Linked DNA regions of Tamandua tetradactyla. The protein of the gene in region 1 binds, or shares a complex with, the protein of each later gene. Links are inferred from orthologs where the notes say so. Each region holds a gene or a part of one and is shown on either strand. Other genes may lie near its edges.

Region 1 (7,622 bases):
TACATCAGTCTGGGTGCAGTCAGGACATCGTAATTTAAACAGGAGAAGGTTAAAAATAAGGAATTATAAAACTACGCTTTAACAGCAACCACAAAGAAGTAAAGAGAAACCTAAAGGGTGCCTGAGGGCTGAGGGAGAGGGCCAACGCTGGACAGCCAGTGGGCAAGCGGGACGGATGCTGTTGGGATGTGGTCCACGACACACAAAACTGTCCCTGCATGCCACCCAGGCCACGTGTTGGGGCTGTATTCACAGTGAGCAACCATAACCAATGAGGACCTACAGTGGGCTTCACTCTGGATGCAGGGAATTCCCTGAAATCGGTGCTCCTGTGCTGGAAAGCAGCCACTGTACTGGGCACAGGGCACCTGACCATGCACTCGGGGGCAAAGGACAACCTGCAGGAACATGAAGTGATGGCTACCACTTTTCAGTAATAAAACCCTCTGCGTCCAATTCACGAGTCTCATGTCTATGGCTGACATCATAACTGCTACCCTGTCAGCATGCAGGGAGGGTAAAATTTCAGACCCTTTGCTCCAGAGGCTCCACAGCTGGTCCCAGGGCACACAGCGGGAGTCGGGGTCACACTGAAGGTGTGTGCATGAGCAATGCAGGTACCACACCAGGTTGCTGTGGGAAAAGCCTTCCCACACATGCAAGTCAAGGTTGGGTGGATGTGCAAAAGGAGTTGGGGAGTTGATGAATGTGCAAATTTTGGAGCACACAGTGTCCACATCAGGGGAGGCAGACCAAGGTGGTCATCAGGCCAAGGTCAGTCTGTCAGGCCACCAAGTGCTGCCCTCTCTGGGCATGGGGCTGGGGCAGAGCACTGGCTGCACCCAGACAAGGCACTGCTGAAGAGCTGCGAGGCAGACAAAGCAAAACACACTACCCCAGAACCCCAAGTCCTCTTCCTCCCGCAATGTTCTTCCAACACCCTCTACCAGCAAAGCTTAACATCATGCTCGTTGTTTCAGCTTGTTGAAGCTGATGAAATGCAATATATTAAAAAATGGACTGGCTTTTAACAATGGGGATTTATTACCTGAGAAATTACAATTCTAAGGCCCTAAAAATATCCGAACAAAGGCAACAACAGGACGAAGATGGGCTGCTGACGATACACAGGGCATCTGTAGGTCCTTCTCTCCCAGGTTGGTGGCTCCCAGGCCCTGGCTGCACTGGCCTCCTCTCAGTCACCCATCTCCGGGTGTGCCCTTGACTCGCAGCCTCTCTGGGGCTTTAACTGTGAGCATCTCTTAATTTTACTTCTCAGCTTCAATAAAGGATTAAGAAGCACCTTGTATGGGTGGCTCATATCTCAATTGAAACAACCTAACAAAAAGCCCAGCTATACCAGGCCTGCCCCACCCGGAATGGAGTGAAAGAACATGGTCCAAGGGGGGCCTGCAGTCTGGGCCGCGGTCATGATGGACACAAGGTGGCCACGACAACCACAGATCTCAGCCTCTTACAGAGGGGGCCCTGTCACAATAAAGAGTACAGCAATGGACGAGGGAAGGGCACACTGTGGCGTAGACATACAATGGGTGACAAGAAGGACTGAGGTCAGGAGACAGGCAGCTAGGTAACGGAGCCTTGAGGAATTATGTGGAGTGAAATAAGTAAAAAATGAGGGGACAAATGCTGTCAGTCCTCACAAACATGGGCTAACTATAATGAGGAAACTCTGAAAATTGAATTCGACAGCACAGATTATCAAGGGAAGAACGAGGACAGAGATTGGGCAATCGACGATTAAGGAGTACAGAATGTTCAGGAAGGCTTACTACAGATGTCCCTACATTTCAGTCAGCCAACCAAAGGAACTGCTAGAGTCTGCTCCGGCTGCACGAGCTAGCACATCTAATCTGGAATCTCTAGCAAGTGTTCCCATGTCAATGAATTTAGTCCTAGACAGTGATATAGTCCACCCTCCTTAGCATAGTAGCACTCGGAACTCAGTCCTATACATGTTCCCCAATTATTCTGGTGTGTAAGTGGTTGCTTCCTGGATCACAGTATGTACTGCTCCTGGAACATGGTAAGATTCACCCTAGCAATGGCTCTAGGGATAGCAGGTGGTGGCTGTTCTCTTGAAGTGTGTGAGTAACCCCTTTCCAGGCACCCCAGGCGAGGTCATCACGGGGATGTCAGGCAGAGAAAGGCTGGTCTACTCAGACACCAGAGGGAAACCTACTTCCAATGGTAAGGGAGTCTCAGGATGACTTTGGGGAGGTCAAGATTTTCAGTTTCATCTAAGTACAAGATGCGCCCATCCCAAGTGTCAAAATCCTATTCTTTCCCAATCAATGCCCTCATTTTCACATGAGAAAATGTAATTTAGCAACTCATATAACTATATGTTTTATTTATTTATTTTTCATGGGCAGGCACCGGGAATCAAACCCAGGTCTCCGGCATGGCAGGCGAGAACTCTGCCACTGAGCCACCGTGGCCCACCTGTAATTAGATTTTTTCTCTCTCTCTCTCTTTTTTTTGTTGCTGTTGTTTTTTTTCTTCTATTTTATAATTAGATTTTCTGTTTGGTTTTTCAGCAGTATCAGCCCTGCGTAGGGATGGCATGGTGCTTCCTGGTTCCGAGACTGCATCTTGAGCTTGTCATGTTCCCTCTGCAAGCACCCAAGTGCCCTGAAAAACTCCATTCCATACCACAGTCCTTTACTTCCATAATGGCCAAGGAGAGCAGCACCTGGGCTCCCCTGGCATGTGCTTCCATCGGTACCTCACCAGGACCCACAAGGCACAACTCAGTGAGTTGTCTGTCAGCACCATGGTGTGCTGGCATCCAGGTGTCTGTTAGCAAGAAGCCAACCATTCCCTAAATTTCGTGATTTTGGACTATCTCCTGAGACCACTTTAAGATCAATTCTGTGTCAGTTCCAGTTCAGACAGGAGACAGAAACTACACAGGATTTACATAGGGCAGGGTAAATAAAAAGAATTATTAAACTATGATAGGAGAGTGACTATAAATATGTGAAGAGAATTCTAAAGGGGGACCTAGGGCTGAAGGCGAGCACTCAGGGAGGGGTAAACCTGGAAGAGCATCTCCTCCCTCCCCAAGCTTGGATTCAGACCTTGATGGGGAAGGTGTAACTCCAGCCCCCCAGATGGGCAGAGAATTTTCCTGTGCCAGAGCTGGTCTAGTCGCTGGTGAGCAGGAAAACTCTCTGGCCTTCAGGTGAACTGAGGCTGGTAGACAGGTTTGCAGAGGGAGCTGTGGCATATCTACAGGCATGATGTCGGGAGCAAGTGGTGTCCACATCAGGGAGTCTCTGATGCTCAGGTGAGTCAAGGTTGGTCGGCAGGTGTGTGTGTGTATGTGGCGGGGGCTGGCGATGCCCCATGGATGTGAGCTGTTCACAGCGTTGCCGTAGGAAAGCCACAGGGCGGTGGCCACCAGGCCTAGGGCTGGGGTAGAGCAGACCAGATGACCTCACACATCAGCATGATGGGCCAACATGGAGCAGGCCAGGGACAGAAGCAGAAGTACAACAGCCCAGCCCAGGGGGAGAAGCAGAGGATGGCATCCCATCCCCAGTCATGTCCTGCCAGCAGCCACTGGCAGGTAGAAATGCTGGCAGGGTCCTCCCGGCACCACAGCAGGCACTGAAGGGCAAGTGTGGAACAGAGAGGCACACCTGCCCTTGTTGTTTAGCTCCACACACTTACTGAGCTGAAAGTGAGGGACAAAGGGAAATTTACACCAGATAAGCAAAGCCAAGGCTGGCCTCCTCACCAGGATAGGTCTGCCTTAGCCTCAGATCAAGCCGGGGATGCTGGCTCCCTTGTTTCTCTGTTAAGGAAGGGAAGACCTATGGGCTGGCTGGTGGTGAACAGGGAGGTCTCGCTGGTTACAAAGGCTATGCTCAGACCGACAAATAACTTCTGAAGCATCAATTCTAAAATACTTTGCTGATCTGCACATTTTCCATTACCATTTCTGTGCATCTTTGGGATGTCTCATCAGATCAAAGCCTCCTCTTGGAGGCTCAGGTCGGTGCAGCTGGAAATAGGCGTGAGCTGAAGGGAGACAGGGGGCTTGGCCTTCACTTTCCCTGGGCCTCGTCTTCAAAACAGAGTATTTGGACAGGGCATTTCCCAGGCACCACCCAACTCTGGCAAGCTGTGACCTTTCACCCCAGGGTAAAGGGAGCGACCTTGGGGTGCAACTGATGTGTCTTCAACTATATAAAACAAGGGTTTTCCTTAAAACTATCGAGTGTCTGTTATACCACACAGCCAGGGCAGCTGCCCCTTCCAGAACCAAGTTCCACGGGGCCTTGCAGGCAAGCGGAAGCCAGGCAAGCTGGCCTGGGAAGCTGGCGGAGATGACAGGAACTCAGTGGTCCTCACCATTGGAAACTAGCCCATGAACCACTTTATCTCCTGCACACGGCCCGTGCTTGGAAGCTTCTTGCACTTGGCTGTACATTTGCTTTGTCTGAATCCATTAATCCAGCTCTCTCTCCACTCCCCACCCTGGCTTTAGAGGAACATCGATATTCATGTAATAAATAAAAAGCACGAACGCTGACTCCCCACTTCCTGCCCCCAGGTCTTTTCCTGCTTTGCCCGGGTTCAGGGCATGCGCTTGGTCCACGCAGCCCAGTGTGCACTGGTCAGCTCCCCGCCCCCGCCCTGCCTGTGGCCCCATTGGCTGCCGCTGCCTGCAGTGGGACTGCAAGGGGGCCGCAGCTCTTCAGCCTGGGAGAAGGAAGGAGAGAGGGAGGCTCCCGTCCCCAGCGCGCCTGTCGCTCAGAACACCCGCAGCCCGACGACAGCAGCAGGAGGTGAGAACAGGAGTAGGCAGCCCCAGAGGAGATGGGAGCAGGGGTGCGAGCTGGGAGCAGGGGGCTGGGTGGTGGCTAGGAGGCCCCTTAGGATAACCGGCAGAGCTGTAAACGTGTCACTGGCCCTCCAGGTTTTAATCTGAACTCTGCAGTCGAGCTTATTACTGCTTTGTGGACATCTGATGACATCCACGCTAGACTGCAGGAGGGCTTGCTGCCTGTGCTCTAAGACTGCAAATCAGAGAAATCTCCAGTTTAATGACTCTAAGTGACTGGTGATATCTTCCCAGAGGAACTACAAATGCTGCTGCTTCTTTAACTCTTCGAGGTGCAGGGCTTTTCTTCCCTCTGGGACTGAGAAGCACGGAGCCTCGCACCATAATCGATTCATCTCCCGCCTCCTGGTCACTACTTTCAGAGCCTGGGGTAGGAAGTTGCTTCTTGGTTTTCTGGTTTCCATCCATTTGAAATGCCAGAAACTACATGACAACGGAGAAACACTTTGCAAATAAATTATGAACAGGATCAAAGAAAGGAGGGTCTATGGTGGGGTTTCACTCTGTGCAGTGTTGCAATTCCTCCAGGAGGAGAGCTGCTCCTGAAGACCCCCACACCAGACGGACTATATAACTGTGCCTCTCAGAACAGCTGAACTCCAAAACTTCTCTTTTCTAATATGAAAAGATTAATGCAGAACATTCATAAAATGGAGTGAGAAGGAAACATAGATACATAATTTCAATTCCTCTTAAAATCATCATTTGTCCCCCACTATGCGGGTTTTTAATGACATGAGAAAAGGCTTAAATTTGAAACAAAACAAAAAAACCTAGCAGGTTATACAAATCTATACTTAGCATAATCTCTGCTATGTAAAAACAACAATGCATAAGAAGACTAGAAATAATTATCAAGTATTTTCATGGTGAGGTTATATGGGTGGTAAGCTTATGGGTTGTTTCTTCTCTATTGCACTTTACTTCTGTATCTTCTGCAAAGCATGTGTTTCTTTGATGATGAGAAAAACATAAACAGGAAAAAGAGAAATAACTTACCAAGTGTCCTGCTTTTTCGCTTTGAGCTTATGTCTTGATGGCTGAAATTACCACACTCTCCAAATCCAGCCCAGTTTTGTAATATGTATCAGGAAGGGTTTATCTATTTCCTCTGCCTGGCGAGGCAGTCTACAGTGGAACTGCACTGATGTCATTCTCTTCTGCTCTTCTGTCTCATCCAGATGCTCTCAAACATGCTCCCACCTCAGATTTATGTCTCAAAAACGAAGAAGTTAAAGCTCTTCTTGATATACCGAACTGCTTTGCTTCTCTTAAGTCTGTTTCTTTTTCATTCCTGATGATTCTCCCCAAAAAGGACCCACAGATGGAAGTATCCACAAGGAAATCTGTTCCCTGGTACTCCTGAGCACTAATCCCCTTAAGAAATAATTTTTTTCCTAAAGTTTTTGAATACTGGGATGTCTCTGAAGACACTCTAAGGAAACTCTCACCAAGATGATGACTAGATGACTTCAGAGGCTACAGCATAACTGGAGAAAGTCCAGAAACCGTACTGATTGGCTTTGTTACAAATTCATACTCTCTAACCTCAACTGGATTTTCACGGCTACTGAGTAATCCTTTTAGCTGTCTCCTCTTAACTTTATATGCATTCCTTACAGCAGCTGCTCCAGTCATTTTCCATTCTCAAATTTCCAAACCGACCCTATGCCCCAATCACCAACTCGTAGCAGCTAACTTCTTTCTTCTCTCATTTTACTGAGAAGATCAAAGCCATCCAATTCTTCAGTCTTTCAATTTCCTTTCTCTATATCTTAATATTTCTCTGCATCTTTACTTTTACTCACCTCTTACCCATTTCAGAGAAAGAAATCTTTACCACCTCTGATTAATCGCTCCATGTGTGCTCACGAGTCCATGCTGTCTCAGTTTCTCTGGGATCTTGCTCTACCTATTATCTGTATTTCACTTACATTTTATTGAGAAATACCCACATACAGTCCAACCATATTACACAATCAGGCTCACTGTGTCACCACACAGTTGTGTGTTCTTCACCATGATCACTTTTAGTACATTTGCATCACTACAGAAGAAGATATTAGAAGAAAAAACTCATACATTCCATACCCCTTACCCCTCCCTCTCATTGACCAGTAGTATTTCAATCTGTGCAATTTTTCACCCTTTATTCCCCCCTTGTATTTATCCTTAATTTTTTATTCATCTGTCCATACCCTGGATAAAAGGAGCATAAGACACAAGGTTTTCACAATTACATGGTCACATTGTAAAAGATGCATTGTTATACAATTGTCTTTAAGAATCAAGCTACTGGAACACAGAGCAACAGTTTCAAGTACTTCCCTCCAGCCACTCCAATACACCATAAACTAAAAAGGGGTATCTATATAATAGGGAAGAATAACCTCTCAACTCTGTTTGAGATCTCTCAGCCACTGAAACTTTATTTTGTTTTATTTCTCTCTTCCCCCTTTGGTCCAGAAAACTTCCTCAATCCCACGATGCCGGGTCCTGGCTCATCTCTCGGAACACCGTTTCCTTTTCAAAAATCTCACTATTCATACTTTACAGAAAAATTACTTATCCCCTTCTCCAAATCATCATGGATTCTAAAAACATTAGGATAATGAAAATGTGGGTTTTTTGTTTTCTTTAAAAAGATCAGTTATTGAAAACCTGGGTCTTATAAAGAATAGTTAAGTACAAAATGTTAAATATTTTTAATGCATCTGAATTATTCTTTCTATATATTTCTGATTTT
Region 2 (7,766 bases), on another chromosome or scaffold:
GATAATAATTGCTAATGTCTATCAAAAGCTTTCTATGAGATAGGTCCTTTACTTGCATCATGTCATTTAAGCCTCCTAACAACACATTTTTCAGATGAGGAAATACACACCAAGTTTAAATAACTCTGGTTTAAGTGGCAGAGCAGGGATTCTTATTCAGGTTTGTCTGACTTCAGAACTTCTAACCACTGTATCAACCAACTGCCTCCACCTGCCCCAGAAACATACTTCAGTGTATGTGTGTTTACAGGTTTGATAAGCCTAGGTGGCAAAATAAATTACAAACCCAATAACCTTTATTAATAAAAACCCATCGGTATTTCAAAGGCAATGAACCAGTTTAACCCTTAAGATGTTATTTGAATTTCCTAACTTTTGTACACTTAAAATCTGTTTTAAAAATAGTAAAAACAAAATTTTAAAATGGTTTTAGGGGAAATTAGGACTCAGAGAGTTTAAGTGACTTATTCAAAGTTATCACACTAAGAGGCAGGGTCACCAACCCTTCCGGTTCCAAGACCAAAGCTTTTCGCACTATATTAGCTATTTAAAGATAGTTATTTTCTTCATTTAGACTTTTATATGCTATTGGCAAAATATACTTAATTATGACTGGGTTTTATAAATCAATAAATTAAGGCTTATATTAACAAATAGTTTTATCCGGAATTCCTGAACAGTGTCTTTTTTTTAAGCCAAGAGTAAAATCCCTTTTTTGTCCAGCTTTTCACTTAAACAAAATGGGCAGAGTTAATCACTAAATATATCTATATAAAGCAGCAATACAAATACGATCATTTCTATTACAGCTGAAGAGCACCACCTAGAGATGAGAAAAAAGGACAGAAAAATTCATTGGCCAAGCAGCATAAAACTGCTTAAGATTTTTATCTGTAGCAGTATTTTTCCAAAGTTTACACTAGGGATGCTAATAGGAATTATAAAATAAAATTTTAAAATTTAATTAAAAATGAGCTCTTGGTCAAATAGGACAAGGAAAAACTGAATTACAGTTAAACTGGCTTCCCAGCTGCAAGTGGCATCACTGCTCTCCTCACTATGAGGGACATGATACACAGGGGTGAAAGTCTCCCTGGCAGCGTGGGTGATTACTCCCAGGGATGAGCCTGACCCTGGCACCGTGGGATCCACAATGCTATCCTGACCAAAATGGGAAAAAAGTGTAACAAATAAGGTATCAGTGGCTGAGAGAGCTCAAATAGAGAGGCTACACTGGAGAGTACTCTTAATGCAACCTTCAGTTAGACACTGCTACCTATCATAACTTGCCAAACCCCAACCAAAATCATTCCTGCCAATCTTACGGAACACCTAGATGTTATGTAAGATTCTTCAAAGTCTCCATGTACAAGGCTAACTTTCCAGAAACCTACAACCTCCAGATGGATCCCTGGAACTGATAAGTCCTGAAATGCAGAGGGGCCAGCCTCTTCAGAGCATCAACTAGGTCCATTCCCTTATCCCATATTTTCGACAATCCTTTCAACATTAAAAAGTTAGAATGGGCATAGCCCAAACATCCCTCAAGAGTGAGAGAAAGATCAAAGGTGATGGTGGAGTTATACAGAGAAGGTAGGGTAACAAATGAGTATGATTGCTGAATCATTATATTGATATTTCTTTTAGTCTCCAAATCTAAACTTGTGGAATTATAACCCATACCAAACTCTGAAATCTGTTCTATAATTAACTGTTGCAATGTGCTTTGAAATGTATTGCTTTTTTGTATGTATGTTATTTTTCACAAAAAAGAAAAAAGTCTATTGTGATGATTAATGCACAGCTATGTGAAAAGTAAATAAAAAGTAAAAAAAAAAAAAAAAAAAGAAAGGTTTAATTGGCTCCTTTATTGTGAACTTCTCAGAAAAATAATGGCCAAAATTCATTAAGTGCTCAGTCCGAGCCAGTCATGTTACAAGCTTTTACACATATTACCATATTTAGTCCTCATCAGCCTATGAAATGGAAACCATGATTACAGATGAGCAAATTAAGGCTTAAAAAGTTAATTAACTTGCTCAAAGTCACATACATACCAAGTAAGTGATGGGCAGCCTGGCTTCAAAACCTAGTCTTAAATACTCCAGAGACCATAACTGGCAGCCTAAAGGCTGAATTCAGGAGCAGGTAAATTTTTAGTCTGCTCAGTGTTGTCAACATTAAAATACTGGGAGATTCTATATAAAAATCGTATATCCAGATTTTTTAAAAAATCATTTGAAAAACTGGACGATCTGGGGATAGTGGAATGCAAATCTACATGGAAACAATTAGTTTTTATTCCTATTTTAGAAGGGGCATGCATTCGCCAGATTATTAAGTCCTCAAATTAAATAAGGAATAATTCTTATACCTTGCCTATTTTTGTTACCAAGCTAGGGTTCTGCAGACATTTTGTCTGCCACCCCTGCAGTACTGCATGTAATAAAGCCTTTAATATAGAAATGAATACTGACAGTTTCTAAGAGTGCTGAGGAAGATGCAGTTTTCCCCAAATTTATTTGAATAGGTAGCACTTTCTTCCAAAGGCTGAATACATTTTGGAAATGCTGAGCTATAAGCATTTATAATTATCATAACTATACAAAGGGATTTAGTCTTTGGATAAATACCAAAATGTGAATGAAGGAAATGGAAATTACTTACAAATATTAGTCCTGATATTAAAGATGACGTCCCTGTAAGTGCCACATAGAATTTGGGTGTCAGTGAATTTAAAAATACTGTCACTGTCAAAAGAAAAAAGAAACCAAAGTTTAAAAAATGCAAATTCAAAGTATTTAAATTAAAAATATGCAGGTGAGTTTATGGCTAGGGGGACAGAAGTAATATTAATATCTAGCATGAGATTCATTTGAGAAAGTTGTAATTTTTTAAAAAAGATCATTTAAATTCCCATCACTGTATATCTTAAAAATGAATTCGCACCCATAAAGGGTAACATTTTACACTATTGACTTGTTAAATAAGCAGCCCATCAAAATGAGATTCTTGAGCTTGCTCCTGAGAATAAAACTAAGAATTTATCGGTCATATTATGGACAGGAACTTCTGTTACTCTATAAGGGCAAGAAGCTAAACAAACATCCTTTCACAAAGGAGGTTTAAAACTACTTATTTTGGTGAGACACAAAACAGTGTCTCAAATTAGAATGATAGAATTCTGGCACAGTGAGGGTAGGAAATAGCGTATATACCTGGCATGTCAGAGAGACAAAAGAGCGCAAAGAGAAAAGCAATAAACTGAGAGCTCTCTGTCCCTGACTCATTGTGAAATCCAGAACCAGATTCTTCATGTCAAATAATTGTCTCATAAATTATTTTTTTTGGACACCGGACTTTACGAAGAAATAAAAATCTATCATAATGAAATATTCTCATCTCTATGGTATATCTAGTTAACATGAAGAAAAAGAATTAACTCAATAATTAACATTCAGAGGATACCAACCAGAATTAAGGATTTCATTCACCTGCTACAAAGAACAACCAATTAGCTCTTTCAAATAATCTAGGAAGGCCAGTTTATTTAACTGGTTTTAGTGTGTTAGTTACATCGGAATTTACATAATTCCCTTCTAAAAAGTACAAAATATTTCATAACATTATCTCAGTCTTTCATGTCATCTTATAGAAGAGGGGATAACTGCCTTCTCTTATTACAGAAAAACAAACTACTGCATTGATAAGCAAAGATATCACGTAACAGAAATATTTGCATATTGTTCTGGGGTGCTCTCAGAGCTCGAGTGGAAAATTGCAATGATACGGTGAGAGGCCCAAGGCCCCAACCACTTTATCCGTGGTACTGCTAAAGGACACTATCTACAGTATCCACAGATATTATCACTTCTTATGGGTCTTCCATATTCGGTCGAAACTACATTAACAAGCCCTCTACAAACGTTGCATGAACTAATGAACTGCTGTTTATGACTTACTTTCTGCATATTGCTTCATTATTTAAGATAAAGCCTACAACAAAAATATCACGAAAACTATTTCTTGGCAGGTCTATTCTAAAACATGAGAATGGTTCAATGAAAAGGCCATGGCCTTTTTTTTGTTTGTTTTTGTTGTCTGAATGTGAGTTCTTTGAGATCTCTGTTCATCTGTTTTTTGGATGTGGGCTTTCAGCTGGGTTACAGGAGACTCAATGGAATGATTTTGAGGGGATCCTATCAACGGTGGGATATGAATTCTGTAATCCAGTCTGAGAGGGCTCACTTCTGTATTACCACCTGCAGCATGTCAGGTGGTTTTCCTCGGGTAAACCAGGAAGGAAGAGAGAGGGAGGATCCTAAGAGCTCTAGGGAGGAGCCAGGAGCTCAGCTTAGGTTTCACAGCGAGGGGTTGCGGCTCAAGAGAAAAAGAATGCACTAGCCACGCATTATCCACTCATTCTTCAAAGCCCTCCAGTGACTACAGAGAATCTCTGCCCTTTGGCCCTCGCCCCGGCACCTATTCTGAATCCCTGCCCGTCCCTGGGGAGGTCTGGGCCTCTCACCCGCTGCCAAGTTCTCACACAGCCTCAGCGGGACCCTCAGAGCGTAAAGAAGCCCCAACCCCACCACGAACCACAGCGAGGCCCCAGTTCCCGCCAGCCCGGCCCGCAGCCGCTCCTTCCAGCCCAGCGACGAGCTCAGGCCCGGAGCAGATGCAGAAGGAGATGCTGCAGCAGTAGCGACTTGGCCCAAGCCGTCACCGTCCGCCATCTTGCCGTTTCCGCAGGCGCCGGGAGCTGGGGGGGCGGGGGAGAAGGGGAGGAAACCAGGAGCCGGGAATCCTGGGATAGTGGAGGACCTGAAGCTGGCCTATTTGAAGGTCGAGTCCTAGAGAACGGAGACGGATTTGAAAGGTGGAGGAATGTCCTAAGACTGAAGCTACAAATTCCTTCGGGGGTTGGGGAAGGGATGGATAGCGACACCTGTTCTGTCCACATCACTGGACAGAGATGTGACCCCGGAGTGGTGTTTTTGCCTACATAAGAGGTGAGGGTGATCTTTCACCCCATTCCTGGGGTTGGAAAAGCCATCGATCATTCCAGGATCCGAGCAGCGTTTAGCGCTTTGGACTCGGCTGCAACGGAGATCATTGGTGCCGGGAAATTTTACAGGAGTATAACTGCTATTTAGTCGGATGGACTTTAAAGCTCGTAACCCAAGAGCAGTTCAAACACGTCCCCAGCGTCGAAGAAATGAATGAGAAAATGGATGTAACTCAGAAAAATATTTCACTTAAAAACGACTTCCTGTACTACTGGCGCTCGGAACCACCACCTCCGCCCGTAACTAACATGGCGCTCCCTCCGTCGGCGTTTCCGGGCGGGTCCTTCGCTGGGCCCCCGCGGTAATTCCATCGCTCGGTTTTTTTCCCGGCCTGCCTCGCGCGGGTGGACGGGTTGGGCCAGAGGAGCCCAAGATGGCCGACTTCGAGGATCGGGTGTCGGACGAGGAGAAGGTAAGGGGTCCGCCTCTCTTTCTGTCTCTTTTTCTCTCAGGGAACAGGGGCCCGACCCGGCTGCGCTGGGAACCCTGGAAGTGTCCTCAGGTAATATAAGTTTATTGGCCCGTGCTGGTATAAACTCCACGCAGTTGGGACGCTTCCTTCTCAAGGGGTCTTCCTCTGCCTCACGGTGGCTCTATTTCCCCATTCCTCAACGCTCTCCTTTCCCTCCTGGGCCTGAGGCACAGCCCAGTAGCCTCCCTGCGAGGGTAGACACTCTTATTGAATCATGACTGTAGACACGTTTTTGTGATTATGGGAAAGGCATTGGTGATGTCGCGACAAATCAAGAAGCGGTTGTTATACTGTCTTCGGCTAGTAGGGTTCTCCCCATCCCCCCATTATTAGATATGATTGTGGCTAATTTAGGGCAAGTCACTTCCTGGTCAGGGTGGCCTCTTAACTTCCCTTTTGCTCCTCCTTCCTCAGGAAGTGATTTTGCTGTCACGACTCTTCGACAGAGAGATGTCCCCATGTGTTGTCCGCCTTACTGTATATCCATGTTTTCTCATATACTATCGGCTTTATTAATTCCTTGTAATAAAACGTGTAGGGTTTAGGGCATTTGCTTCAGAATCTAAACAACTATGTTTCCTGTACTTTTGGTTGCATATATGTAGTAGGTCTTACTTCTTCTTAGAGATAATTTTTGAAAAATAGTTTTCGGTTTCAGCTGTTTTTGTTAAAGAATAGCCAGCGGACCTTTGTAAAAGGCCAGAAAGATTTTACGTTGGCATATAAACCTCATGTTCTTACATTGAAGTCTGCACAGAGCATCCTACCTTCTTTATCTGATGTTTCACTGTGGTATCTGATTATAGTTGAATTTGTCGATGTGTAATTTGTGTATTTATTTTTAAAAAGTGTTAAATACAAAAGCATATTCTAGTTAGATGGAATAAATTTTTCCGAAAGCTGCATAACTTTCTTGACAATTCACCAGGCTTTTCAATAAATACATGATTTTAGGTCCTGTAGAAATTAGAAGTAACTCATTAGATAATTTGTCAGAATTGTGCACAGGAAAGGACAAGACTCATGTTTTTTGTTTCCCATAGCACCAGTTACAAAGTGTGCACCCTTGAATGCTCTGTAAATGTACCTGGGCTCTTTATTTTTTTATTTAAGAGATTTGGATAGGATGGGTGTACTGTTTATTAATCCAAGAGTCCCGCATACAAAATGGTATACCTACTTAATGGCATGCTATTTTGAAATGCTGAAAGATATGCTAAACATAAAAAAGCCATTGAACATTTTAGCATTAGTTTTCTCTTATGTGGAAATTCTCATAAATGTTAAATACAATTTGGGGAAAATAAAGGCATCGTATATGTGAATTTAGGCTGGAGAAAAACTGTAATAAAATGTTTATTCTAAGACAAATAGTTATGATTCATATAAAATTAAATTATGGTGAAAGTCAAGGCATAACAAAACCCCAACTTATGGCCCACTTATTTAAGCAAAAAAAAGTATTACAACAAAATTTCACTAAGAATTTAGATAACAATAAAACTTTGAAGTTTATTGTGCCCAAATGACATTTCATTGACCAATGTTGGGTTTTTGTCTTTGATGCTAGGTTAGAATGCTTTTTAAATTAAACTTATTATATATTTTTCAAAGTACAAATTAAGGTGCCCTTGAATATTGATAGTGTTTAATATTAATAGTCTTAATATTAATAGTCTCTGTTGTGTAAGATCTGTAACCAGTCTCATATTTTCCAGTATAGTTCTTCTGTGCTTAATTTTAACTTAGTAACATAAACTAGCACATCATTATTAGGTTAATCGACTCTCAAAAAGAGTTGACAAGTATTATATTCGATAAACAGTTTTTACATTAATGACCTCTTCATTAGTGTGAGTAATTAAAAGTAGATGTTATGGTAAAAATCTCACATAGCAAATCGATATGGAGTTACTTGACATTGTTAAGTCTTATTCCCAGATGGAGATGAAACTGATCCATTATCTGTTATGAATCTGTAAGTAAAAAGAAAGGGCTTTGACTTGTAAGATCTCATTAATTAGCTGTCTTTCAACTTCGTACCTGCTCTGTCTTTTCTTCTTTCAGATTGAATTCCACAATTTAGAAAGTATATCTCCAGTAAAGTCTTGTCTATATGAATGTGTTAGAATTCATGAACAATAAGTAACCTTTACATGGGATTTTTGGCCTGTTTGACTTTCCCAGCTAAGGCACAATTAAAAATTGATTTTAAAAATCAACAT
Region 3 (7,836 bases), on another chromosome or scaffold:
ATGTTTTAATATAAATCCCATTTCATAAAGGTAGAATAATCCCTATTCAATACTGTATATTTGAAACTGTAATGAGATCATCTCCCTGGTTGATGTGATTTAGTCAAGAATGGTTGTTTAACTGGATTAGGGGATGACATGTCTCCACCCATTTGAGTGGGTCTTGATTGGCTTATTGGAGTCCTATAAAAGAGGAAACATTTTGGAGAGAGAGACTCAGAGAGAGCAGAGAATGCTGCAGCACCACGAAGTGGAGAGTCCATTGGAGATGAGGAAGGAAAATGCCTCCCGGGGAGCTTCACGAAATAGGAAGCCAGGAGAGAAAGCTAGCAGATGACGCCGTATTCGCCATGCGCCCTTCCAGCCGAGAGAGAAGCCCTGACTGTGTTCACCATGTGCCGTCTTACTTGAGAGAGAAACCCTGAACTTCATCGGCCTTCTTGAACCAAGGTATCTTTCCCTAGATGCCTTTGATTGGACATTTCTTTAGACTTGTTTTAATCAGGACATTTTCTAGGCCTTAGAACTGTAAACTTGCAACTTATTAAATTCCCCTTGTTAAAAGCCATTCCATTTCTGGTATATTGCATTCCAGCAGCTAGCAAACTAGAACAGATACCCATCCTGGTGTCACTGCACTGACCACACCTACCGCCTCACCCATCCCAGCCTGGGAGCTCTTCATGGACAGGGGCCAAGTCTTTTCATCTTTTTCTTTCCTCAGTGGCTCTCACCATCCCTCCTAGGGAATGAGTACCACCCTGACCAAATCTACCATCCCCCCACAGCCGGCCCTTCATGGGCCTCAGGACCCATAGTGTCCCAAAGGCCAACACCTCCTATTCCCCATCCCCCACCCCCACCAGCCAGGTGCAGGCTCTAACTTTATCTGGCCTGTGGCTGCACTGGTTCCCAGAACAATTAGAGACAATGTCCAGCCCAAAGCCTGCCACTAGTCATTTTTACATCCTTTGGAGGTCCCCAGCATTCTAAACCTTAGCTTGGGGCTCCCTTCTGAACCTCCTTGCCATACATCTCCATGGCCCTGCTTCAACCTCACCTTCTCTTGCCTGGCTCAGATGTTCCCCTGGGATTGTTGCCTCTTCTCTCACACCCTTTTCCACCTAGAGCCAGGAGACCAGAGAGGTCCCCCCTGGGCTCACATCATGAGGCAGCCCTGCTGACAGTTAGACCTCCCCTTCCCGACCAGCCTGATGCTAGATATCTGAGGTCCCCACCCCACTACAAACACACTGCATTTGTCCCTCTGCCTCCTTCCGGACAGTCACCTTCCATCCTGGTCATTGGCAGGTGGCTGCAGGAGGGGACGTGGTAATGCCATGGGATATTTTCTGCTGAACACGCCCTCCCTCCCCCATCATGTGTGTCCTGTGGGTGGCTGAATGCAGGCCTACATCTCCTCTCACAGACTGGGCACTCCTGAGGACAGAGCCACCTTCTCCATCAGACCTAAGGCCCTTGACGGATGGCTGTCTCCCTCAACCCTGGCCCCAGCCTAGGCTCACACGAGGAGCTACCCACTCACCTTTCAGTGTCGCCTTCTTTAGCACCTTCATGGCGTACAGGTGTCCACTGTCAGGCCGGGTGACCTTTCGTACCAGGAAGACCTGAGAAGGCAGTGGGGTCGGGGTGGAGGTTGATGGGGGCACCTGGGACCGTCAGACCCCACCCTCCAGGTTCCAAGTTGACCTCTAACTTTCCGGAGCCCCAAGCTGACCTTCTGCCCTCCCCCAGCACCATAGTGACCTTGCACCATGGTGACCTCTCACCCTGCCCCCAGATCCCTCAACCCTACCCCCGATTTCCTGAGTGACCCCTCACCCCCCACCTCTGACATAACCAGGGAATTCCTCCCAGCAGTGGGCTCAGAACTCACTTTGCCAAAGGATCCCTGGCCCAGCACCTTGAGGAGCTCAAATTGGGATGGGTCGGCCTTCTCAGAGCCAGCCTTGACGTGGTGAGTGATGGAGATCTCCTTGAGGACGCCCTCATCCTGATTGAGGGACAGAGCTGGTGAGCACAGAGAGCCCACGCAGGGGCCCCCCCAAGTCTGGGACCATTCCCGCTGGACCTCAGTAGACAGCGTCCTGCAGGTCTGGCCAGGACACTACCCCAACTGCCTCTGAGTTTACCAACCCCAAAAGGGCTTCAGAGACCTGGAAGGGTCAAACCACCAAGGTGTGGGTCAGGCGACAAGGATGCTGGCACAACCAGGAAGGAATTCCCCCCAACCGCAAGCTCTGGCTAAAGCCCTGAGACCTCCAGGTCGTCCCTGAAGGGCTTCCCTTCCCCTGCTGCAAACGTTTTTGGTTTTGCTACAATAGGAAGTAGGGTTTATTCTCATACTGGGTAGGTGGAGTTGGACCTTTGTTCCTGGTCAGGATGAGATGGAGTGAATCCCTCTGGCCAACAGGACAAGGCCGAGGTACACAGAGAGCTGAGTCACCTGGGACTTCCCTACCTACCCAGTAAGCACCAGCCTCGGGTGGGTGGGAGTTAAGACCAGAAATGCCATGCCCACCCTTTCAAACTTCCCTTCAATGAGCCAATTGCCAGGCCCTGGCTGTTCTAGGAAGCTTCTGCTGTCTCCCAGTTTTCTGGTGTCTCTAGAGCTCTGAAGGCCTCTTTACTTCCCTGGGAAGCAAGTCTAGGCAGGGTCCAGTCACCCACGGGGCCAGGCTGGGACCAAGAGAGCCCAAAGACAACTTAGGCCAAATTGGCTGCCCAGGCACCTGCTCCAAGGGCCACAGCCAGGCCAGGACCAGATATCCGGGTACACTCACCGAGTCCTGCTGGGGGCCAGAGCCAAGGCCCGAGGCAGGCAGAGAGGTTTGGCTGATCCTGGGCCGCTGCTTCCTGGGCAGCCAGGGGAGCAGGGCCCAGAGCCGCAGACGGGGCAGCTTGGGATCCTGCTCCATCTGGCCAGCAGGGCCGCGGCACCATGGCAGGAGCAGGCAGCGTCCCGGGCTGCCTCGGAGGCGGCCCGGCCCAGGGCGGATGTGCAGGGTGATGGCGGGGGCTGGGCCTGGCCCAGGACCGCCAATCATTCAAGGTCTGTGGTTTCCCAGCTCCAGGCTTACACCCTCACCACGTTCCCTTCCTCTCTTTTGCCCTCACCCCAAAGCCTGAGGGCTGCCCTCAGGCCCTCCCTGCCCCAGCCTCCCTGGGGGCCTCATGCCAACATAGTTGCTGAGAAGCAGGTAAGTACTCTGGGTTAGGCAGGGACAGGCACCTAACATATGAAGGCAGATAAAAAAAAGACATCCAAAGGGCAGAGGCAGGCATCCAAGAGGTAGAGACAGAAAAAAACAAGCACCCTACAGGCAGAGGCAGGAGGAAACATACCCAAGAGGCAGAGATGGGCAGAGGCATGTTCTCAATGGCAGAGGCAGATGAGGACATGTACGTAACAGGTGGAGGCAGGAGGGGACATGTATGCAACAGGCAGAGATGAATGGGGACACGTATCTAATAGGCAAGGCAGGAGGGTACATGTACGCAACAGGTAGAGACAGAAGGGGGTACCAACCCAACAGGCAGAGACAGACAGGTGTGGGTCACCTAGTGGATGACATGTACCCAACAAGTGAAGACAGGAAGGCACTCAGCAGGTAGACACAGAGACAGGTAGACACAGAGACAGGTAGCAGGGCGAGGATCCCCAGGAAAGGGGGCGTCAGAGCTCCAAGACAGAGCTCTGGATTCTTTCAGTCTGCCTGGGGTGGAGGAAGGGATGAGGGGACATAACCTGCAAATCCCAAGAACCCAGGAGAGGAACCCGGTATTTGTGGCAGACCCATCTCTGAGGTCCCTAGGACCTTCTTCCCACCCCAGGACCTGAGGGGTCCAGGACTAAGATGGTGGGCTGAGGGGTCATCTCCAGAGCGCACTCTGATGGCTTTGACTCTAATCCAAAATATCCCCATTTTGAGAACAGGAAACTGAGGCCCAGAGAAGGACAGTGACTCACCCAGGCTCAAAGCAAGCCAGTGGCAGAGCCAGCTAAACCCAAGTCCCTCCCCTGGTTGCTGCCTGGCCTGGGATCAGCAGGCCTCAAGTGCCAGGAAAGGGTGGGCAGGTAAGGCAGCCAGAGCCACTTCCTCCCCACCGAGGCCTGCCCCCTCCCTCAGCATCAGGGTCAGTCTGGGGACTTCCCACTCTAGGCCTTGACCCTCAGAGACAGTCCCATCCCCAGGGGACCCTCCCTGAAAGAAGGGGGAGTGGTGTAACAGCCATAAAAAGCTGCAGGCAAATCAGGCTTGAGTACAAACCCCTGGTGGGATAGGCCGAAAGCCTGGCCCAGAGAGAGGCGGGGGGCGGCCAAGACCACACAGCCATTTCTGCCCACCCTGCCCTGAGAACTGCGCCTCTACCTCATCCGTCAGCTGTCTCTGACCGAGAATGCTCCCAGGGGACAGAGGCAACTATCGGGAAACCCCAGGACACAGAGACACCCCATCCTCCAAACCCTTGCCCTTGCCCAGAGTAATGGTGACACATCACGAGACGCAGGCCTTCTCTCTGCTCACCTTCCTGGGACAGAAGACCAAGTCTCCCCCAACCCTGGGGAAATCTGCCGTGGTCTGCATGGTGGGGCTCAAGCCGGTGGCCAGAGGGCCTTGTTACTCCCTTTACTTCTGCTTTTTCAGTCTTCCCAGCCCAGAAGGCAGGGTCCTTGGCCCCCCTCCTTCTCACTTCCCCCTCCGCAGGGAGGAGGGACAGAAGATGGGTCAGGCTCCCCTGCTGAGGAGGGGTTACCACAGACCCCAAGCCCGTTACCCCAGGGAGGACTGGGTGTGCGCCCCTCCCCATCTCCTCTAACCCTAGGGAGGGGACACAGGAATACAGATGGAGGTCATGCGGCAATGAGGTGGTGACACAGGGGGGCATCCCAGCACCCGGGAACACCCACCTGGAGGGGCCCTGAGGAAGGGGAGACAGAAGTCAGCAAAGCCATAGCCTCTGACTGCCCAGCCCAGAGCTTAGACGGTCCAGCTCAAGACACTCCTGCCCCCACAGCGCCCTTCCTGTGGCTGGGCCCACCCAAGATGCCAGCCTCACAGCCGGCACCACAGGACGCAGCCCTCCCCGGCTCCAGGGCTCTGCGTTCTCAGCCCTGCCCTGAAGAGGCTTGCTGCTCCAGGGCCCAGAGATGCAAGGGGGACAGCCCGACACAAAGGACAGGATAGAGGGGCAAGGGGCTGTGGGGCAGAGCCAGACCAGGCCCAGCCCCTTTCCATGTGGCCTCATCTTATCACTCACACCAGTGCACCCACAGGAACTGACAGGCACACAACCACACACTCAGGCCGGTGATCGGAAACCATTTCCACAGACTTGGCCTATGTGGAAATACACGCCTGCAGTGCCCACGGACTTCCCCTTCCCTGCCCTCACGGGGTCTCCGATAACAGCCTCCGATGGGCGATGCCAGGCGTTCTGAAATGCCTCCCTGAATCCGAGGCTTCTCACTGCACCCCAGCTTCCTCAGGCTCCCCCCATGGAGACCGGGACAGCCCTGGGAACCTCAAAGCTCTCTGGCCCAGCAGCAGAAGAGGGGCCGGTGTCAGCGGGGCATCCACCACCCCCATTCCCCCCGAAGCAGAGGAAGAACCGCTGCGGCCGGCAGGGCACAGGAAGGAAACAGTCTCAGAACGGCCTGCACAGAAGGGCATGCGGAGGGGCTGGGAGGCCTCTAGCGGCAGGAGGACAGGCACCAGCCCACATCCCCTCGGTCCCTGCCCTTCGCTCCCCACCAGAGACACTTCCTCTTGATTTACTTCCTCCCACATGGCAGCTGGAAGAGAGATCCAGAGCACTCTAGCCTGACCCTTGGTTCCCTGATTTCCAGCCCTGGCCTCCCTCCTCCAGCTGCCGCCCAAGCCCACCTGCTAGTCCCAGTGCGTAATGGACACCACTAGCCTTTTGCCCAGCTGGCAGCATCTGCGGGCCTACCAGGCACTAAACCCCTCTGGTGGGACAGATGCCCCCAGACGCAATTCCCAGCATGCCTCTGGGCAGGTGAGGAGGGAGGCTGCCATTCTCAGGCATCCCTGAAGGCAGAGCTGGCCTCAGGCACCAGGCCAGGACCTGCACGAGTGACAATGAGAACTGCACCTCCTATTAGCCAAGCGTGTTTTGCATGCGGCCATTCTTTTTTTCAACCTTTGCCAGTGGGGATTCTGCTGTTCCTGTACTCGGCACTGGGGCTGGGGCTGGGGCTAAGATCCTGTGTCTTGGCTCCAAGGGAGGTACTGTCATCTCATTTCAAAGATGAAGAAACTAGACTCAAAGAGAAAGTGACCTGCCCAAGGCTACATGGCTAGAAAGAGGTGGAGCCAAGGGCAAAATCGAAGTATAAAGACCCTGCTTTTAAGCATTCCCTCACTGTCCTTCCCGCAAGGGCAACCAGCCTGGTTCTCCTCCGGACATCATTCGCAGTGACTGATCCCCTCCTCTCCCTGGCCAAGAGGTGCGGAAGCTAAGGCAGACCCTGGTCTTGCCCTCATACACATGATAATAAAATACAACTGTCCTGCGACAGAACTGAGAGCAGGTGCTGTGGGTGCCTGGCAGTGGCAACTCAAAGCTGGGTTCTGCAGATGAGCAGACATTGGCCAGGCCGAAAGGAGGAAGGAAGACATACAGGCAGAGAGCCAGGTGTGGGCAAGAGTTTGGAGGCCAAGAGTAGAGGTGGGAAGTCAAGAAGAACTGGCCACACACTGGTCAAGTGCTCCCAGGCCACGGTCTTTCCCTGCCTGAGCTCTGATTTCCTTCTCTATAAAATGGAGGTAAAAATGGCATGCGCTACTCTCAGAAAGTTGTTTCTAGAAGCAAACTGGGCCATGGAGACAAAGGGACATTGTAAACAGAACTTCTCCTTGGTTTAGCTGGGCAGTCTTACCATGGTCAGAGGCCAGCCCCAGGGCCCCAGGTGCAGGGAGGGTGGGCCAGGGGAAGTCCTCCCCCAACACCTGAGGCTGCCCAAGGTTCCCCGAAGTCCGTGGTCACATCCTGCCTGAGCTCCAGCCAGGGGAGCATGAGGGATCCGGGAGGGATCAGGGTTTCATAAACAGGAAGAGAGGAGGGGAGGGGGTTGACACTCAGCTCTCAAAATAGACCTGCAGGCGCTTCAAAGGGGTCCAGCTCCGGAGGCAGCCAGGGGAGGGGGCCTGGGTTGCCCAGTCCACCCCCAGGAAGGGAGGGTGGGTGAATGGAGTCCCAGGGTGCCTGAGGATTCCAAATGCACCCAGAGTGCTGAAGGGATCCAGCGGAGCTCACCCTGAACCCGCTGTATACACTGTTGCCCCTAAAACCCCAATATCCCTTTCTGCCTGAAATGAACACAAATAAACAAGCGTTAAGGACCTGTATTGTGCCACAAACTTTGTTGGTTGCTTTATTTTAAACACATCACATTTTGGGCTCTATTCTCCTTCGACAGGAAAAGAATCTCAGCCTCAGAGGGGCAAGTCATTTGCTCAAGGTTGCAAGGCAAATGAGAAACAGGGTTTTGAACTCAGAATGCCTGAATGCTGAGTCCCAGCCCCTGCCATTTCTCCAGCCAGGAGGCCCGATTTCCTTCTCTAACTGCCCAAATCCCACCTGCCCTGTGAGGGCCAACCAAATGCCCATTCTGCAGGGACGGTGGCCTGGTGCCCCACAGCCCACCCAAGTCCTCCTCCCCTGCTGTGCACAGCAGTGACCATCTGTTTGGCCCATGCTGGGCCCTGGGCTCAGATGCTACTCGCTGGGTCCCCGGGACTCGCTCATCTCATCATGCCACAGAGAGAAACGTGGGCTCCTGGAAGGCCT

What was found.
Region 2: the proteins of S100B (region 1) and CAPZA1 are in contact, whole or in part, in an NMR structure (PDB 1MQ1), measured with the Homo sapiens proteins. The link is inferred for Tamandua tetradactyla from reciprocal best matches to the Homo sapiens genes S100B and CAPZA1. Residues at the interface, in NP_006263.1 of Homo sapiens: Glu46, Glu47, Lys49, Val53, Lys56, Val57, Thr60, Phe77, Met80, Val81, Ala84, Cys85, Glu87; in NP_006126.1 of Homo sapiens: Thr265, Arg266, Ile269, Asp270, Trp271, Asn272, Lys273, Ile274, Leu275.
Region 3: the proteins of S100B (region 1) and RPS6KA1 are in contact, whole or in part, in a crystal structure (PDB 5CSJ), measured with the Homo sapiens proteins. The link is inferred for Tamandua tetradactyla from reciprocal best matches to the Homo sapiens genes S100B and RPS6KA1. Residues at the interface, in NP_006263.1 of Homo sapiens: Ser42, His43, Phe44, Leu45, Glu46, Ile48, Val53, Val57, Ala84; in NP_002944.2 of Homo sapiens: Ala697, Met698, Ala699, Ala700, Thr701, Ser703.

The regions. Positions count from the first base shown.
Region 1 is NC_135336.1:109,048,892-109,056,513, reverse strand, and holds the start of S100B (protein S100-B), read left to right. Parts: upstream 1-4,611; 5' UTR 4,612-4,820; intron 4,821-7,622. UniProt on the Homo sapiens protein: Small zinc- and- and calcium-binding protein that is highly expressed in astrocytes and constitutes one of the most abundant soluble proteins in brain.
Region 2 is NC_135337.1:9,448,330-9,456,095, reverse strand, and holds the start of CAPZA1 (F-actin-capping protein subunit alpha-1), read left to right. Parts: upstream 1-4,761; 5' UTR 4,762-4,948; coding exon of another isoform or gene 4,949-5,063; 5' UTR 5,064-5,241; coding exon of another isoform or gene 5,242-5,242; 5' UTR 5,243-5,258; coding exon of another isoform or gene 5,259-5,259; 5' UTR 5,260-5,442; coding exon 5,443-5,481; exon of another isoform or gene 5,482-5,553; intron 5,554-7,766. Other genes in the region: ST7L (suppressor of tumorigenicity 7 protein-like), read right to left, coding at 2,668-2,750, 4,529-4,736. UniProt on the Homo sapiens protein: F-actin-capping proteins bind in a Ca(2+)-independent manner to the fast growing ends of actin filaments (barbed end) thereby blocking the exchange of subunits at these ends.
Region 3 is NC_135328.1:199,665,604-199,673,439, forward strand, and holds the start of RPS6KA1 (ribosomal protein S6 kinase alpha-1), read right to left. Parts: upstream 3,006-7,836; 5' UTR 2,940-3,005; coding exon 2,805-2,939; intron 2,015-2,804; coding exon 1,898-2,014; intron 1,629-1,897; coding exon 1,547-1,628; intron 1-1,546. UniProt on the Homo sapiens protein: Serine/threonine-protein kinase that acts downstream of ERK (MAPK1/ERK2 and MAPK3/ERK1) signaling and mediates mitogenic and stress-induced activation of the transcription factors CREB1, ETV1/ER81 and NR4A1/NUR77, regulates translation through RPS6 and EIF4B phosphorylation, and mediates cellular proliferation, survival, and differentiation by modulating mTOR signaling and repressing pro-apoptotic function of BAD and DAPK1.